Oryzias latipes: one gene and its partner. The protein of the gene in region 1 purifies or fractionates together with the protein of each later gene. This does not show direct contact. Links are inferred from orthologs where the notes say so. Each region holds a gene or a part of one and is shown on either strand. Other genes may lie near its edges. The genes, in order: glypican-1 and hadhb.

Region 1 (9,825 bases):
GATGCCCAGACTTCCCTCTGCCTGGCCACTTTATACAGACTACTTTGAATTTAAATGTAATTGGTGTTACTCCTTAATTTTCTATTCAGGGTGTGTGTCAGAGTGGGGAGGGGGGGTAACTTTGACAGATTATTGATTGGCAGGTAGGTGGACCCAACAGGGGGACAGAACAAGACTCTCACTGCTTTTTCATGGCCCCTTGCTCATTTTTAGAATAATTTTGAGTTGGGAAAAGCAAATTCAAAAAGTCTAAGTCCCTTCAGCTTTTATTAAGCTCTTTTGAATCCTATTGGTGATGTCAGAGATGATCGGTCCAGTTTGTGTCTGTTGTTATGTATATTATTTTTATTCATGTCAATCAAAATGTGTAAACCCCTGAAGGTGCTGTTTACCAGAGACCCTTTTTTTTGTTTTTATGTGACGGAACAGAGCATAAAGGTCACAGGTGGACCAGCCTGAGTGACTGTAGTCATGCAAACGTTGTGCCAGCTTCTCATGATGAAGAGGGAGCTGAGTTGTCAGGAGGGAAGCTTTCGATTTACCACTCAATCTACATTCCAGCCCTCATCTACAGTCACAAGCTCTCACTGAGGCCAAAAGAGTGATATTGTGCATAAAAAGGACACAAATGAAGATACATTACACATACACTTAACACATGTCAGAGCTGGGCTTACAGCTAAAATATTTCAGTATAAGCCCATAAAATATTTGCCATCTTAGATGTCTCCCCAGACCGCAAAAGGAAATGTCCAATTGTTTTGATGAAACACAACTAACAAAGGATTCAGGAAATCCCTGGAGGCCAGTATGTGAGCAACAGCTGAACATCTCAAAGTTTTAAATAGCATGGAATAACCAAAGTTAAGGATGATGAATTTACTGTCATATCAGAAAAAACAAAGCTCATTTTGTTACAGTTGTATGACACCTGTGTTTCCAACTTTATTTCATCATATGTTAAAAAAAAGATCAACTTTATCAGGGCAGTGATGTTGAAAATGTGGAGGAGAATTTGCTGTTTTTACTTTCATTATTTGGTATAGCTCTGTGAAAAGAGATTAAACAGCACACATGTTTTCAATGTTTAATGCCTCCATCTCAATAAAGAAAAGTAAAAAAATCCAATGAGGTTTTCTAACGCTTTAAGCTTTGGTACAAGCTAAGAACTATTGTTATGCATTTGTAGACCTACTCTTAATTTTAGTGAAAAACAGCTGTCTTCAAAGCATTCCAGTACTTTTTACTCAAGTTTACTATACTTAACACTCCATATTTTCAGTCACAAGGCAGTACTTAGTGACTAGTTTGCATGGATTCTCAGCAGGGCTGGTGAGCAGCGCTCCCACTGTATCATTAGTCAAACGCTGGTTAGAAATGATGCTCCAAAAACACCAGAAAGGGCTGTCAGGCTGTTGCAACCAGCAATCAACAACAACATAAATAAAGTATGGGAAAATCAATTCCAAAATGTGACTGGCCTTCCTGCAGATGTCTCACACATTTAGTTCCTTTGAATAGACTTATGTGACACTGAGGATCTAAGTCTTATTGGCTTCCAGCTGCTTTCAAAGAGTGCCTGCCATCTTTATCGCTTTAAGAGAGACACAGAGAGATAAAGAATGTGATTTCCTGGAAGACAAAAAAGATCAAGTCTATAATGATAGGGTGGGACAGGGAGGGGGCAGCGCAAAAAGGAAACAGGCCCACATCATTAAAATCAATCATCCATGTTTTTTAGTAAACACTGCCCAAAAAAGTTATCTCCAAAACTGCTTACCCTCTGCAGAGTTGACTCATTGTATCCGTTCTCTAACCATCAATCAATTAACTTTGTTCCCCATGAACTTTATTTTTAAAAAGCATGGCCTTTATGCACAGCAATGGTCCACTAAGCATTGCTTCGGCACAATGATAACAAACAGCTCACTGTTATCTTAGTTCTTCTGCATCGCTTTCCTCAAGCCAAAGTTACTTAAGAACTTACAGCTATTCTGAATGTTTTATGAGCCGTGTCTACTTAAAAGCAATGTCTTGAAATTGTTTAACACCATTTTTTAAGCCTAATCCAACAGAGAAAAGATAATTATGTTGGGATTTTTCTTCTACTTTAACTCAAGTATTTCAAAAAAGTTGTTTTTCAAAGTCAGTAACGAAATAAAACTGTACAGATAAATACATAGAATCAAATTATTTTTCAGTACAAATGGAATACAATAACGTAAAATAAAAAGCACACTTTTCTTTGTAAATCTGCAGATAAAAACTGCATTTGCATATATTTCCAGGTTTGATGTACCATTTAAAACAAAACCTAATGGGTTTATAACAGCTTTTGTCTCCAGGATTTTTTTTCCATCAGCTGGATGTCGGACATTTAATTGCTTTAACTGAACATAATTTTCAGACTTGGGAAGCAAGTGGCTCTCCTCGAATCTTGCTGGTGTGCTCAGCATGTGACCTTGAGTCAGGCTCAGCCAATACATTAAGTTGATCAAACCCTGGTGTCACAGAAGGAAATACCCTCTGCAAATGTCAGGGAGCATCCACAATATCCAAGCAGCTCATAATTTCAAGGCATAAATCAAACATTTCATGTTTTACGATGTGTTCATGCCAGGCTACGGCTTATGAATAGCTGATGTGATTTATTCATATAAAATCAAGTAAATGTGACACTGAGCACAATATTCTGAATGTAGAAAAGCAAATTTGTCCTTGTTTCATTCCTCCATGCCTAATTCCAAGATTTTCTCTCTTACGCTAATATAGTGACTTCATTCTTAAGTAAACTCCACACCATTGATCGAAAAAAGAGGGATTGCTGGCGTAATGACATGACAGATTTGCTCTTTAAAGCAGCTTGGATTGCAGGCATTTGGAAAAAAGTTGGGTCTCTAACAAAACTAGAGCTGGTATAAATTTTGTCAAATGTTTTATTCAGTGTGGTCAATCAAGTAAATTGCCAGTGTCCACTGCCACTTGCCCTCACTGCAGTGAATTGAAATGAAAGGATATACAAGATTATGCTTTCATTACATTACTGCCCCTCCTTCAAATTTAATAATCGCAGTGTAGATACTGAGCTCATTTGTGAATTATAATGCCAACTGCTGTGTGACAAATAATTGAAGTTCAAGCAAATCTTGGGTCCTTGGTAGATGTTTTCTAATAATTTTCTAATAAACTCTTCCAAACATTGCTGTTGATGAGTTATATCCCATAGTTATCTCCAAAAGGACTGAATCAGCACCAAACCAGAAAAAGTGTTTGCGTCGGGAGGATATCACAGAGATTCAGCCACAATGGAACCAGGATGATACTCCATTCAGTTATATTTATTTGAACGGCCAGGTGCACACGGTGCTTTATGATCATGAGGCAAGAACTTTTCTCACTGGCAAACTTTAGGATTCATTATCTTAGCCTGACACTGAACGTGAGGGCACTAAACTAAATGTACACATAGAGGGCAATAATCGCTGTACTTTTTGTATTGGGTTATGCCTTGAAATTGGCCAAAGTGGTTCATACTTTGGTAAAATACCATTGCAAGAAACCCCTCAACACTAGGAATTCCAGTTTACCAGATCCTCGTTTTAGAATAATGAAAAAGAATAAAAAGTTCAAAGTTCCTTGAAATCCTTCTGAATGAACTCACAGTGGGGTGGATGTAAGGTCTCACATCTTGTCTATGCTCGCTGGTGTTCATAGCATTGTAACCAGGAACTGTGTGTGTGTATTGGTGTGAATGCTTGGCACTGAATTCCACAGGAGGCAAACATGCAATCATCTGAACACCAGAGAAACTTGTGACTGACATCAGACCACGACTGACCAATCGGGCAACCTTAAATTTACAATATTTTGTGGATGACTAAATGTCTGACAACTTAATATGCAGGCAATTGCCGGTACCTGTTTGAAAAGAGGTCAACCCAATTGCAGAATGTTAGAGTGAAAGTTACACTGAAAAAAGCGTAACTTCTTGAAGTTCTCAAAAATATTAAGATGAGAGTTTGAGGAGACTTTATTATATTTTATTTTCACCCTTTTCCTGAGATCAAACAGCCAGACAGTGTGTGGCGAGTTTGCTCTGTCTCTAAGTCTTTTCAAAGAGCTGTTTCATCTCATGAGAGCAAAAGAGGTTCTGTTTTATGGCACCATGTGATACGAAATGATTGCCACACATTAGAGATGAATAGATAAATGTATTTTGTGCTTTCTTTAAACACATTTTAAAAATAGATGGTTTTAGAACATTATAGTCAGGTCATCAAGTCCTCAGCCTCCAATTTGATTAACTTTAACTCAACAAATTGAAATTAAAAAGGTTGTGGAGGAATAGCAATTTTCAGAAGTTATTAAAAGCTCCGAATAGTTTTATAACCTCAGCAAGCACTAGTTTATTTTTGGCCATAAATTTTAGTTTATTTTCTTGCATAAAAGAGCTTGAATTTCATTGAAGACTGCGCTCAACAGCTGAAAGAACCTACCTGATATTTCGGACAGAGGGGCATTATCCAGAGAGAACCCCTTTGCACCGTAAAACTGACGGATGTCCGAGCAACTCCGGGCTTTGCTGGTGCCTTTGTCCCCGCAGGCTGGTGCTGTTAGAGAGCACAGTGCCAGCGCCGCTATAATCAGAGATTCCATTCCTGTCGACCTTTCAGGATGCAGACTTAGTGAAATGACAATCCGAGTGGCTGACGAGGATACTGAGTTTAGTGCACGGAGAGGGGGACCGGCGCGTTTCTTGGTGCTGCTGTGCGTAAAAACCTCCTCTTTTGCTCCCCGTCTGACGCTGTGGCCCCTCTACGCGCCGCCGCACGGCACAGTGGCGATTCCTCACAGATGTCCCGTTTCTTCTTGAAGCTGTTCGGGACAACGCACTTTTTATTTTCCTCTCCAAAAGAACTATCCCCTCTTGTGGTACTCTGAATAAGTCCAGATCTCGTTTATCCACCGCTATGGTTTTGGATCATCTACAAAGGGAGAAGGAAATGGATGAAAGAAGAATTAGGTTACGCGTTTACAGCTGAAATAATCTATTTTAAGTCACGTCAGAAAATAGCAACGCTCCGGCTGACGCCGTGCAGCCTGGTTCTGTTGACTCACGCCTACCGGCTCGAGCGGCCCCGGGGATCTGAGTAACGAGGTGCGCATATGCAGATACCGCAGCTCACGGGGTTGCTGAGCGATGCTGTGCCAGCGCTGCTACTCTGTGAAATGAGGGAGAGGCGGAGAGCAGCAGCACAGTAAGAGGAGAGAGGCGAGGAGCTGCTGAGGGTTGAAGCAACTCTTCAAGTTTGGTTTCATCCTGTGTCGCTCAAATACTATTTTTAAAGATGTTCCCCGTCCCTGTCTAAGATCTGTGTCATTCTGTGGCACATTCACGGCTGCGGGTGATGGATCATAAGGTGTTTTGGTCCACAGCAGAGGAATGTGCTCTGCGCGCCTTGACAGCTTGATCACGACCGGCCAGGTGTCACAGGCTGTGGGCGTGCCTGCCAGCCCTTTTCCCACCCGGAGCTGTAATGTTGGAAAGCAGTGAATGGATGAGCCAGATCACTCCTCAAGATGCAATTAATCGGCCAACAAGTCACTATCTGCCCCGTGATTTTCCCGGATCACCTGGCTCTGCCTGAATGCCTTCATTATCCTCAGTTTCTGTGCGCGCTGTCTCTGTTATTTGATGACACGTGTCTGACTGTGAACTTTGATCATGTCAGGAAAAGTCCAACTTTTTAGATGCGTTGCCTTTCGGTTTTGCTGTAACATAGTGGCCTCAAAGCACAAAGACAAGTAAGGAGAACATCTTTAACATCATGTCTGCAGTTTTTGATGTTTTCTGTTTCATTTTTAGATCTACAGAGCCTTTCCAAATTATTAAAATATCATGAAAAATCTATTAATTTCTATAATTCTATTCCAAAAAATAATTCATGTATAGAATATAGATTAAGGTCCCTCTGTTTACTTGATTTCAAGATTTGCTTTGACATAAACTGGGCTTCTAGCTCATGAATCCCATGAAAACTGAATTTCAGAAAATTCAAATACTGTGCAGAAATCACTGTTTACTTCTCAGTTTTTGCACAAAAAAAAGATAAAGACAGAGATTATGATCACATCAAGTCAGTCAAAATAAAGTTTTAACAAAATAATATGTAAATAGTAGTATGGGCAGCGGCCAGGTCCTGATGGAAGATAAGATCTGCACCTTCATCCAGATCCTCAGAAGAAAAGCTGAAGTCCTCTAGAACATTCTGGTAGAGTCTTGCAGTGATTTTGGATTGAAGAAACCAGATTTTACCAACACCAGTGCTGGACACTGTATCCCAAATCATGACAGACTGGATTTTTCACACTGGACCTCAAGCAGCTTTGGTTCTGCTCCAAACCAGTCTTCCTCCAAACCCTTGGACCTTGATTCCCAAACAAAAGGCACACTTTTTTTTTCATCCGAAAAAAACATTTTGGACCACTGGCCAACAATCCAGTTTCTCTTTGTTTCCTCCATTGACGCAGGATCAGTAGTGGTTTGACCTGAGGAACCCGACAGTTGTAGCCCATCTCCCGAGTCTCCTATTATTCTCTTTCTGTTTTAAGCCAAAATACAAAGCTTTGGCAGAAAAGTGTATTTTCTAAAATAAAAGCAGAAGCCTTAATATCCAAGAAGAACTTTTTTTCTGATTTTCTTTCTTTCTAAGTTTCGTTCAACTGAATCTATGAGCTTTAGGCAGGTTGTGTCACATCGACTTCCCTTGTGATAAATACGTGTGAAATTGAACAAGACAGTGTTGGATGGTGTAACTCATGTGGGAGGTACTTCAAGTATTGTTTGCCAAGTAAGATGCCACAGCACATTATTAAACTGACACATAAAACACACACACATGCACACAGGTTATCTTCAAATATGAAGCAATAACAGGACAGAAAGCAAAAAGAAAAGAAAAAAAAGCGAACAAAGAAATGAAGTCATGAAGGAGAAAACCTCATGGCAGCAGGAGTCATTTCCTATCCCCAAATCATCGAATTTCTGGAAAGAAAAATTGTTTATGAGGACAACATGGCACTCTATAATTAGCTCGTCCTTTGTCACAGGTCAAAAACAAAGAGAGCAGCATCTCACAGAGTGACAAATGGCCACACTCACAACCCATTATCTGAAATGATTGGGCACGAATTGCATATTTATTCTGCAATGTGGAGTGTCTTCCTTGTTGCACTGTGGACGGTGCATTTGTGCCACGTTAAATCTGGCACATTATCATAATCATTTAGATAAATTTGAGAACTGTAGCCTAACAGCGGCGTACAACAGTCAGACAAACCTCTAATTTTGTGTGTGATGATTTTTCCTCCCTTTGCGGTGAAGGAAAATTGGCCGGCGTTAAGCACATGTGGCAAGAGGTTAATGAGTCTAGCAAGCTCAAAGCAAGTGTGGGACAACATGTCAGTTGGTATTATATATGGGTTTGTGAATACATGACCTTTGTGTGTATGTGGCAGTGGCAGTGTGAAATTTGAGTTTATGTGTCTGACTGCGTTCCACATGTGGTCATAGGTCGGTCAGGATGTTCAAGAACTGATTGGCCTTCTACTGTTTGGTTTGAGGATTATGCAATTAATGCTCAATAAAGCCGCAGAACAGCCATCTTTTTTGCGGGCTGCTTCTCATTGAAGTTTTATTGGCTCTGACCATGAAAGGCTGCTTAATGAGGAACAGGAAGCCCGGGGAAGTTCAGGAGACCGGCAGAATGGTAGCAAAGACAGAGGAATGAAGGGGGTGAGAGGCCATAAATAAGCAACAGTAAGTTGGAGTCCATGTGCAGTAATTTAGAGCTTAGCATTGTCAGGGACTGATGATCATTTCTAGAACTCTGCTGGATTTTAACTTTCATATACAATATTCTTTCAACATAGTGTGTATTCCTAAAAAAAAATGAAAAGGAGAGTTACAAAAAAACATTCCTTAAATCCTACTACAGTCATCTTTTAATGTATTTTAAATTGGTCCCCAGTGGTCTTTAAATTATGATTATGCTGTTTATACCCAATAAAACAGACAAAAAAATTGTGTTTTCTAGGACAAATTCTGCAGAGCGGCAGTACTTCTTTAGAAATTTGCCTCTGAGTTGTGGGCGGGACTCTTGGCACAGAGCAGCCCCAGCCTCCTTTCCCGTCATCCATAACTGAGCACTCTGTTCACACGCTCTCCCGCTGGCTTACAGCCCCTCACATCCCCAACTGATCATTATCGGTGCAACAAAAATTTGGCGAGCAATATTGAAGTTATCCAGCTGTACAGTTTAGATCCAGATGCCAGCATGGATGAGGACAACAAAGAGGTACATGGATTTAGTCGTCTGCACGCGGATACATCAGAATGCAAGGGAGCATGGAGCTTGTGGCTTTTCGATTGTACCACATCAAATAATATTTGTATAGCATTATTCGGACTGACATAACTCAAAGCGCTTAACATAAAAACATTTTCCAATTTTTAAAAACCCAAAGCAAGACAAAACTCATACAGTACAACGTCCAACCACCAATGCTCTACCTCGCCACGCAATCACAAACATAATAATGCATAAAATGATTCAGTATGATGTGAAGAAGAAATCCAGCTTAATACTTAAGTGGGGAAATTACTGTATATTTTTGGTACCTGTCCACCCCCCCACACACACCCATGTCCACAGGGGACACTTCTCCAGGATCCCCCAGATCAAAGCAAGAAGCCAGACTCTGGACATCCCTCTGCAGCAACGCTGTTATCTTTCGTATATCACAACTGCAAACTTTTTCAAACAACATTTTTTTTGTCTTCTGTTTCCTGATTCACAATAATTTGACTAAAGCAATATTCAGAAATGCAATTTTGAGCTGAACTTTCCTAAAATATGTCCTCTATCGTGAGAAAAATGCCAGGAAATTATTCTTAGTTTTGGTTCCAGCATAGTTAAAAAAATCTTACTCTTAGGAGCCTTTTCATATAGTTTAATTGTTTTTATTTTTTTGTCCACCCATATTTACAGGACCAACAATCATACAAGCTGTACAAAAATAATCATGTTATTTTCATTCTTTTTTTTGCAGGGCTCAGGAATATAAAAGCACAGAATGCTCTTAGTAAAGTCACAAATACAGTTTTATGTACATAAGCATCATTTTTAAGATGTAAAATGCAAAAACCAACACCTCCAACAAAACAGTTGTGATTCAGTGTTGTATAAAATGACCATCTATCAGCCTCAGCATGATTTGGCTGTAAATACCATTGTGCAGTTTTACAGATTTATTCCGTATTTATAGAGAGATCACTGTGTTATCTCTCTTAAACCAGTCTCACACAGGGCTCCTCACAGCCACTATTGATTCTTGATCCGCTGAGTTTTTGTATCAACACATTCACTATAAAGTTCTTTAGAGTGGGCACATTATTCTTCTAAATGAATATGTAAATATATCTATTTTGCTTTACCCTTTACCTCACATGATTACAAAATTACAAATTACAAAAATACAAGTTACAATTTATCTTCGGCTTTACTCCTGTGAATCATGAAGCTTGAGAGCCTGATGTTGTTGTTTTATGCAAACGCAGCCTCTGTATAGAGGAGAATCTTTCTCCAGCTGCTGAAGATAAGTGATGAGAGAAAAATAAGGAACTGCTGATAAGTGTAAAGGACAAGCAGATTAAAGTGAAGATTTTTTGTGAAAAAAAAAGGAAAACTTTAGTTTATTAAGTTTATCTTATAATAAATAAGATAAAAAGAGGAAAATTGATGAATCAGTCACTTTAAGAAGATG
Region 2 (9,862 bases), on another chromosome or scaffold:
TTTATCAGAGCCCCCTTTTATGGGTTTTAGGTATCCAATACACTAAAACGCTGACATGAAGTAACACATAGATTTCTCCGGATGTACCTCAGACAGCTTGTTCAGAAATACTTGATTTAGGAATGCATAAAAATAAATGTAATCCAACTGAAAACAGTCTTCTTTCCTCGGTTTTTTTCTTCATTTATTTTTATTTCATACACTAAATAATAAACGGGTTTATAAAAAAAATCTCTCCAAAATAGAGAAAGAATCAATAAAAAATTGCTAACCATTTAAAAAAGTGTTTAGACACTTATGATCATGTAGTTTGTTCTTTAAGTCTCTCACACTGTGAGTGTAAGTGTTCCCAGTGGTCTTTTTAATCATGATGGTGTCGTTTTTAGCCAAAAAGAAAGGAGGACGTCGTTTCTGGACATAGTTTTTGATATTTCTAGCACTGTCTGGTTTCATCAACCCCACTTCCTTTGAGTGTGGAATGTATTAGTACCCGGCCATTAACATTTATTCACTTCCTCTGTTTATGTCTCTGCTTTGGAACATCTTTGCCTTGTGATGTTAATGTGTGAAACCCGACTGGACCCAACAGGTCTGACATTAGGAGAAGATAATCCCTTGGTTCCTTTGTTTCTTTGTTTCTATACTGAAGGAAAACATGTTAATGCCAAGCGGTGCCCACCCAAGCCTAATTTGAAATCAACACTCCTCAATTCTCCCAAAGGAACCTGGACTCAAAGATCCGAGCGAAACATAAAAACGAGTTTTTTAGATGGCTGAAGGCTGAAATCCCTCCACTTTTTGTCCAATAGCTAAACATCACTGCTTCTTTCAAAAAAGCAGAACGTGAATAAGATCATAGCCAGAGGGTGCACCAGCTGTTGTTGGAGCCACCATCTTGACTTCATGTTGACATTATCAGCTCATGAAAGCCCAGAAATGACTGTCTTGACCTTCTTATACTCAACTGAAGCTTGGCAGCCACTTGCTAAAGACTGTAGGGGTTTCACGCCTTTGTGTTAGGCCCTGATTAGTAATAGAGAGCATGTCCGCACCATTTCAAACAGTCTCTGAGACTTACCTGCTCCAGGCAGCAAGACCTCAGGTGCGGAGGTCACATGCTGGACACCATCCTTCCAAACTAAGGAGTGCTGCTGGAACCACCTCCTGAACGTCTGAGGAAGAATGCGGCTTGGTCTCTGTGAAACGAGCTCTGCAGTCCTTCCTGCATATTCAAAGATGAAAGCTGTCGCGCGATCACGAAAGCAGTGGGTGGGAGGAGCTCGCCAGGTGGGTCACAGGTTCAAATCCCACAGAGATTGTGTCCTTCATCAAGATACATTACCCATTATGCCAGTTGACTGTAAGCAACTTGAAAAGTTACTGTAAAAATATATCAAAAAAGTAAGTAAAAAGCAGACACGATTTAAAGTGTGCAGAGGTTTGGACGCATCCAACCCTCAGATCAACCAGAGGCTTTCATGTTTGGACCAAAAGCCTTGGTCAACTGAACTCATATATATATATATATATATATATATATATATATATATATATATATATATATATATATATATATATAAACATAAACATATAACAAAACCCCACGGCTTTTGTACAGGTCAGCCCCATATGAGTTCAGTTGACCAAGGCTTTTGGTCCAAACATGAAAGCCTCTGGTTGATCTGAGGGTTGGATGCGTCCAAACCTCTGCACACTTTAAATCGTGTCTGCTTTTTACTTACTTTTTTGATATATTTTTACAGTAACTTTTCAAGTTGCTTACAGTCAACTGGCATAATGGGTAATGTATCTTGATGAAGGACACAATCTCTGTATATATATATATATATATATATATATATATATATATATATATATATATATATATATTCATAGATTTCCTTTTACATGATATGTTGAAATTATATTCTTGGATTGTTTCCTAACTCCAGTTTTTCTTTTCTTTTCTTACATTTAAAAACAGCTGATTTGAATAAAACAACAACCCAAAAACTACTTTTGTCATCATCATTTCCAGCAGGCTCTGCTGCATCCACTCGGAAACATGCTCGCATTCTGATTAATCACAGGTGTCAGCGTGAAGGCTGAGACAAGCAGTCAGGGCTGTCATAAACATAATGTGTGACGCCCCGTTTGTGCATACGTCTCCCACAAACACACACTTTTGGCAGCTGGAGTCCTACAACTGCCACATCATCCTGAGCCAGCAGCTGACGGGAGTTCTGGCTGGATGGAGAGAGGGGTAAAAAAATGGAAGAGTCAGTCTGTCAGAAGGCCAGAGATGTGGCTGGTTTATGCTGATTTCGGCTGGTTTAACGCCGTCCCCAGAGAATGTAAACACCATGGCACAACTGCACTTTAAAGTGAGGAAAGGTCTTCCCTTTCTCTGAGCTTAAGAGCAGAAAATATGATCGCTTGAAGGAAAAAACAACAGAAAAACATGTTTTCACTGCACAAAAATAAAAGTAACATTTGAGTTTCCTTCATAATCTGACTCGGACAATCAGCAAAATGCATTTATCATAACTTATTACATTTTGATTTATAATAAGCAGATGAATAAGAGTAGTCTAAAAGTGTTCTTCAAAATAAAATAGGCATAACTAAACATCACATTTCAAGAAAAGATTAAATCAATTATAATAATAATAGTTATTATTATTATTACAGTAGTAATGTGGAGTTTGCATGTTCTCCCCGTGTATGTGTGGCTTTTCTCTGGGGGCTCCGTCTTCCTCCCACCGTCCTAAAACATGCTAGGTTCATTGGTTACTCTATGGGTGTGTGATTGTGGCCCTGTGACAGACTGGCCATCTGACCAGGGCGTCCCCTGCCTTCCCCCGCAAGTGGCAGGGATAGACTTCGGCCGCCCTGTGACCCCAAAAGGGATAAAAATGGATTAGAAGATGAATTATTTTTTTTAAATCATTTTTAAGCAAAAAACATTAGACGACTCAAAACATTTGTACAACGCTTTTTGCAAGTAGTGTTGAAATACAGCTAAGTTATATTTTAAAAATACGTTTTTGGTAATTTAAGAATAAGAGTTGTTTAATATTTTTATCCCCATAGAAAATTGTTATAATAATATTATGATTTTTTTAAATATTATTATTATTATTAGTAGTAGTAGTAGTAGTGGTAGTAACAGCAGAAGTAGTATACAAGTCATGGGTATTTACTTTTTTATAGTATTTTTTGATCAGACATGTATTTAAGCAGATATGGATTTCTGTTCAGGCACATGTTTGGACAGCTTAGGCATTGGTTGGGTCCTGTTCAGGAGTGTAGTCCTCTTGGATCACCGACAGGGAAGCAGAAGCTCCGTCATTCAGCACAAATAAAGGTAAGCGTAAAAGCAGCAGACTCTTTTAGCGTTTAAACTGAATAAAGCAACAATTTGAATTATTTTATCGTTTTACTTTTCTAAGTTTTCCGTTACCGAACCTGCCTGACACATACTTTAGCCACTATGCTAGCCTCCATCATGCAGCACACAACGACACCGCCGTCTATTTTATTTCACCAAAATATTTACATTTGGGTTAAAATGGCTGCTTCAGTCAATAAAGGTATCATAACTATTGATTGCGGTCGTATTTTTGGTCATTTTTGCAGCTGTCATTCCACAGGAGAGCAAAGTGGGTGAAGGGTCACAGTATGAAAGGGTGACCGTCAGACTGATGCGACGTTCACTTACATCAGGAAAATAAACTTTATACATTTCTTTTAGAAATAATCAGATTGTAATGTTTGATACTTACTGTACTGTGATCTAGTCCTCTACTTTGATCAGTTAACCAATATTGACTCATCAGCTATCATTTTTATGATTTAAGGTGGAAAGTTCTGGCTACCTTTCGTTAATTAGCTCTGAACGCAGCAGTGGCCGTGAACGCACCACAAACAATAGTTCACATAGGGGTTCTAGCATTTTTGGGGGGTAAGCTTGAGCTTTATGGGTCAAAGGAGAACAGAGCAGAGATTCAGAAGGAGACTAACTACTTTCTTTAACACAATAAATAGATAAATATGACTTTTCAACGAATATGTCAAAAATGATCTACAAAAATCACTGCGGAAACTCTGCCATAAAAAACATGTAGATAAATTATCTTAATACTAATAATCTAACATACTGGAATCCTAATTCAGCTATGATTACCGGATATATTAACATCTGCTAAATTCACCCCCAGAATGATGGTGGATTGTTAATCAGGTTTTTCTAGCATCAAGTCCAACGTTTGTTATTTCAATGTCATCGGCGACATCTATGGTGTTTAAAGGTTAGCAACAAAAGCAAATTATTTTTATGAACTTTATTCCTTTAATTCGGTTTAAATGCTGCCCATAACAATTTCTCCAAATTCTCTGATATCTGCAATCAGCTCCTGAAAATTTGAGTACAAATATTTATGTCCATTGATTTTCAATCTTTATTACTAGAGTACAGTGTAGCCAAATGCAGTTCAGGAAATGTAAATGTTACCCTAAAATTGCAGAATAATATAGGATTTTATTGGATAAACTAATCTGTGTACGCTACTGTCACAGGAAGTAAATAGATTTTCAAAGTAAAGTATCGTTGAAGGTCCTCATTTTTAAAGTACATCTATCAAGTGTTTTTCATAACGGTGATGTTTACATTCTGAAGTTAATCTGGAAGTTGACAGAAAAATCTTTGATTTTGTCATATTTGGAATTGACAGTTACCGTTTCTAGTATAATACGTTGAATTTAAAATCCGTTTTCAATAAAGTCCAAAAATCGGAGAGTTCCCGAAAACCCAGATGAGTCCGAACTTCTCCGTTGTTTCCTTCACGGCTGCAGGTTTTTCCTTTCAGAGTAAAATGGCTTCCATGCTGCTGCGGCCCACTGCCGCCGCCTCCTCCTGGGCGTCGCGACTCGGTGAGTTTTGTCACAGCCTGGTGATCGGGTCTTCTTGCTCTGGTTTCTCCTTAAATCTGTGAATCACCGTGTCTCCCAGGAGCCCGCCCCCTCAGTGTGACGGCCCCTCTTCAGGCTCAGGGTAAACATATTCACACTACTGAATGTGACTGTCCCTTGGTTGGATCTGAAGTCGCACTTGTTCATTTGTTTTTAGCCCAGACAAAGAGCAAGAAAACCCTGGCCCGTCCCGGAGTGAAGAACATCGTTCTGGTGGAAGGAGTCCGAACGCCGTTCCTCTTGTCTGGAACCACGTACGTTCCTTCTTCAGGATGAAGCTCTTTACCCTGCAGATAACATTGCTTTCACGATGTGTTCAACGTTTTTCAAAACGATATTCATCAGGTTTGAAAAACATTGTCTTTTGTTTCCAGGTATGCTGACATGATGCCTCATGACCTGGCCAGAGCCGCTCTGCAGTAAGTTCCTGCTTAGGTTTAGGCTTTTCCTGGTATCAAGAAGCTAGGTTGGGTAGTTCGGTTTTAATGTATTTTGAATCAGAAACACCCTAAAGATTAGTTTTACATAATAATATATAATCATGATTGCAAATGAGCTTTCATTTTTTATTTGGGAACAAACAAACTTCTTCCAGGTCTTACAAACTTGTCAGAAACGATTGAATGACTGGACTGTTTCCTGCGATGTTACGATCGTGTTCACCTCTGGGAATATCCCTTCAGGGGTCGCCACAGCCAATCAGCTTTCACAGACTCGGACCGGTGGTTTGGCTGAGAGTTTCTACGCCAGATACCCTTCCTGACACAACCCTGTATTTTCAAGGCACAGGGAGACCCAGATAGGCAGAAGCATGAAGGATCTTGTCTAAGGACCCACACTGGATTTTTTTTTAGCTCATTGCACGCCCCGGGAAGTAAACCCAGGTTTCCTGCGTGCCAGCCAATTGCCCCAAAAATACCATCCAGGCCGAGATGTTACGATTAGAATATAGAATTATATGTACTGAAATACCTATAAGTAATAAACTAAACACACTTGTATGTCAGTCAATGTTATCAGGGAACAAATGAAATCCTGGAAAGGAAAAACAGGTTGCTAAGGAAAAGTTTCCGAATGAAAATCCCTTCAGATCTTCATCAGACCCAGACATTAAAAAACCACTACGGTTGCTATGGTGAACCACTTTCATAGAAGTTGCCAAGCTGAATCAAAGTTGACCTTATCTCTCATTGTGTCGTACAGAGATTGAACAAAGTTTGTTTTTTATGTCGCTTGATTTTTTTTTGGGTTGTGATGCTGTATGTTACCATGGAAACCACTCAGAGTTAGACTTGTCAGTGTATGTAAAGTTAGTAATGGAAAAATCAGAGCGTTTTTTTCTTAGAGACCAAGTACCTGTTAGTTTTTAGACGAAACATTTCGAGGAATGATGGGTAATGATGGTATAAGAAGACAGACGTTTAAATAATGACCGAATAAATGGAGAACTTTTTTTTGGTTTCAGGGGTCTGCTGAACAGAACCGGGATCCCCAAAGACGCCGTGGATTACATCATTTATGGAACGGTCATTCAGGAAGTGAAAACCAGCAACGTGGCCAGAGAGGTAGGACACTTCCATGCGGGCGTCAGCTGCTCGCCGTTTTTCCTTTGACCATTTTTGCCGTTTCCTGCAGGCAGCTCTGGGGGCAGGCTTCTCGGACAAGATTCCAGCTCACACCGTCACCATGGCCTGCATCTCCTCCAACCAGGCCATGACTTCAGGTGAGCTCCAGGTCAGCGGGAGAGCCGCTGTCGTTGGGATTCAGCGGGACTTGAACCTTTTTTTCTGTGCAGCTGTCGGGCTGATTGCTGCAGGTCAGTGTGACGCCGTCGTCGCAGGCGGGGTGGAGTTCATGTCCGATGTTCCCATCCGGCACAGCCGCAAGATGAGGAAGACCATGCTGTCCCTGAACAAGGCCAAAACTCTGGGGCAGCGGCTTAGCCTGATCGGCAGCATCCGACTGGCTCACCTGTCCCCTGAGGTAAACCCAGCTCTGACTCTGCAAATCTCACCTGCGACTCTTCCTAAACCCGGAATCTCCCCCGTTTGCAGCTTCCCGCCGTGGCGGAATTCTCCACGGCAGAAACCATGGGCCACAGCGCTGACCGGCTGGCCGCTGCGTTCGGCGTCACTAGGCTGGAGCAGGACGAGTTCGCTCTGCGCTCCCACAGCCTGGCCCAAAAGGCTCAGGACGGCGGGCTGCTGGAGGACGTGGTCTCCTTCAAAGTACCAGGTGAAGCTGAGCTGTTGGGAATGTGTTTACTTGAAACACTCAAAAGATTTAGGAAAAACATCTGAACTTTGGATTTATTTGTTTATTTTTAAGGTAATTTCCAGTACTTATTAGTGATAATAAATAAATAGATAAAAATGTAATAAGATAAATGAGACTATATTTTTTAGCTTTAACATTAAAGCTTTATCTTTCATAAGTGTTCCTCCCAGTGGTCTTTTCATTATTGCCATTTTGACCCAAAATCCAAAAACCTGACTTGTTTTCTAGGCCATCGTTCCTGCAGAGCAGCAGGAGTTCATTAGACCATTCCCCTTTGAGTTGTGGGCGGGACCAGTTTTTCTTTATATATTTCCTCCATCATCAGAAAATTAGCACACAAACGTGATAAAAACACAAAATTTTCATCGGAGAGGGTCTATAAGCTTTTGTCTGACATAAATGGCTTGTAGGTCTTTTTTTTTTCCTCCCATTTATTCACTTTCTCCTCTATTTTTAAAATTCTTTTAAAAATGAATGAAAATCTTAACAACTAGAATCTTTATTTGTGTCATCTAACCGTTGTTGATCGTGTGGATCATTTGGTCAAAGGTTACGTCTGTAAACGGGCTTTCCTCCTCCAGGTCGGGACATCGTTTCAAAGGACAACGGCATCCGGCCGTCCTCCATGGAGCAACTGGGAAAACTGAAGCCAGCCTTCATCAAGCCTCACGGCACAGTCACCGCTGCCAACTCCTCCTTCCTGGTAACAGCTTCATCTGAAGGATTTCATTTGATTGTCCTCCTCATCCTCACCTGTCCATGTATGTGCTGGTCGGCAGACGGACGGGGCCTCCGCTGTGCTCATCATGTCTGAGGAGAAAGCCTTGGCCATGGGCTTCAAGCCCAAAGCCTACCTCAGGTACCCGAGTCCTCTCAGTGAAGCAGAGCAGCAGGACCGCTTCAGAACCACCGACTCACAGCGTTGTGTTTTTCAGAGACTTCGTCTACGTCTCCCAGGACCCCAAAGATCAGCTGCTACTGGGGTGAGTGAGTGTGTCACCGTCTCCACTCACGGCTGGACAGTTTGTTTGTTTGTGTGGAGTCCATAAGGATCTGTTTGACTTACAGGCCGACCTACGCCACGCCAAAAGTTCTTGAGCGGTCCGGCTTGTCATTGAGCGACATCGACGTGTTTGAGTTTCACGAAGCATTCGCCGTAAGATTTTTGTCTAGATCCAAACTTTTCAGTTTTTCTTTTAGGTAGTTTCTTTTTCAGCCTGGTTTCTATAGCAACATCCTTGTTTGTTCCTCAGGGTCAGATCATGGCGAATTTGAAGGCGATGGACTCTGACTGGTTTGCTCAGACGTACATGGGCAGGAAGTCAAAGGTGAAAATTTATGTGGTGCTTTTATTTTTTGTTCAAGAAAACATTTTCTAAACATTTTAGGTGAGGATTAGTTTCAAATTTTTTATTCAAAATGTAAAATATTCTCTTTTGGTGGCTTTTATTGAATAACTTCTATATTTTCACAAGTAAAAAAGAGAATTTTTGCGATGATAAGGGAGAAAATCACTTTTCAAAATGAAGACAGAATGTCAAAAAAGACTTCTTTTGTCCTTTTTTGTTTAGGCATTAACATATTTCTAAATGAAAATTTTACTGATGAAGACTTGGGACTAGATGAGTTACAGCTGTAGACTTGGGACTAGACATGAAGTTATAGCTGGAGATTAGGGACAAGACGAGTTACAGCTGGAGACATGGGACTAGACATGATCTTATAGCTGTAGACTTGGGACTAGACATGAAGTTATAGCTGTAGACTTGGGACTAGACATGAGGTTATAGCTGTAGAAATGGGACTATAAATGATGTTATAGCTGCAGACATGGGACTAGGCATGAGGTTACATCTGTATACTTGGGACTAGACATGAAGTTATAGCTGTAGACTTGGGACTAGACGAGTTGCAGCTGTAGACTTGGGACTAGACATAAGGTTATAGCTGTATACTTGGGACTAGACATGACGTTATAACTGTAAACTTGGGACTAGACGAGTTACAGCTGTAGACTTGGGACTAGACATGAGGTTATAGCTGGAGACTTGGGAGTAGACATGACGTTATAGCTGTAGATTTGGGACTAGACATGAAGTTATAGCTGTAGACTTGGGACTAGACATGAAGTTATAGCTGTAGACTTGGGACTAGACATGAGGTTAAAGCTGTAGACCTGGGACTAGACATGAGGTTATAGCTGTAGAAATGGGACTATAAATGATGTTATAGCTGCAGACTTGGGACTAGACATGAGGTTATAGCTGGAGACTTGGGAGTAGACATGACGTTATAGCTGGAGACTTGGGACTAGACATGAAGTTATAGCTGTAGACTTGGGACTAGACATGAAGTTATAGCTGGAGACTTGGGACTAGACATGAGGTTATAGTTGTAGACCTGGGACTAGACATGAGGTTATAGTTGTAGACCTGGGACTAGACATGAGGTTATAGCTGTAGAAATGGGACTATAAATGATGTTATAGCTGCAGACTTGGGACTAGGCATGAGGTTACATCTGTATACTTGGGACTAGACATGAAGTTATAGCTGGAGACTTCGGACTAGACGAGTTGCAGCTGTAGACTTGGGACTAGACATAAGGTTATAGC

What was found.
Region 2: the proteins of glypican-1 (region 1) and hadhb purify together in Homo sapiens (co-immunoprecipitation; 3 studies listed by BioGRID and IntAct, counting the BioPlex papers as one, with this or other methods). This does not show direct contact. The link is inferred for Oryzias latipes from reciprocal best matches to the Homo sapiens genes GPC1 and HADHB.

What each region holds. Positions count from the first base shown.
Region 1 is NC_019875.2:23,989,377-23,999,201, forward strand, and holds the start of glypican-1, read right to left. Parts: upstream 5,806-9,825; 5' UTR 5,125-5,805; intron 4,986-5,124; 5' UTR 4,657-4,985; coding exon 4,497-4,656; intron 1-4,496. UniProt on the Homo sapiens protein: Cell surface proteoglycan that bears heparan sulfate. Binds, via the heparan sulfate side chains, alpha-4 (V) collagen and participates in Schwann cell myelination.
Region 2 is NC_019882.2:19,090,216-19,100,077, reverse strand, and holds the start of hadhb (trifunctional enzyme subunit beta, mitochondrial), read left to right. Parts: upstream 1-3,214; 5' UTR 3,215-3,229; coding exon 3,230-3,367; intron 3,368-4,854; exon of another isoform or gene 4,855-4,868; coding exon 4,869-4,932; intron 4,933-5,011; coding exon 5,012-5,053; intron 5,054-5,128; coding exon 5,129-5,225; intron 5,226-5,345; coding exon 5,346-5,390; intron 5,391-6,436; coding exon 6,437-6,536; intron 6,537-6,606; coding exon 6,607-6,694; intron 6,695-6,766; coding exon 6,767-6,954; intron 6,955-7,025; coding exon 7,026-7,206; intron 7,207-7,829; coding exon 7,830-7,951; intron 7,952-8,027; coding exon 8,028-8,107; intron 8,108-8,183; coding exon 8,184-8,231; intron 8,232-8,316; coding exon 8,317-8,404; intron 8,405-8,501; coding exon 8,502-8,576; intron 8,577-9,862. UniProt on the Homo sapiens protein: Mitochondrial trifunctional enzyme catalyzes the last three of the four reactions of the mitochondrial beta-oxidation pathway.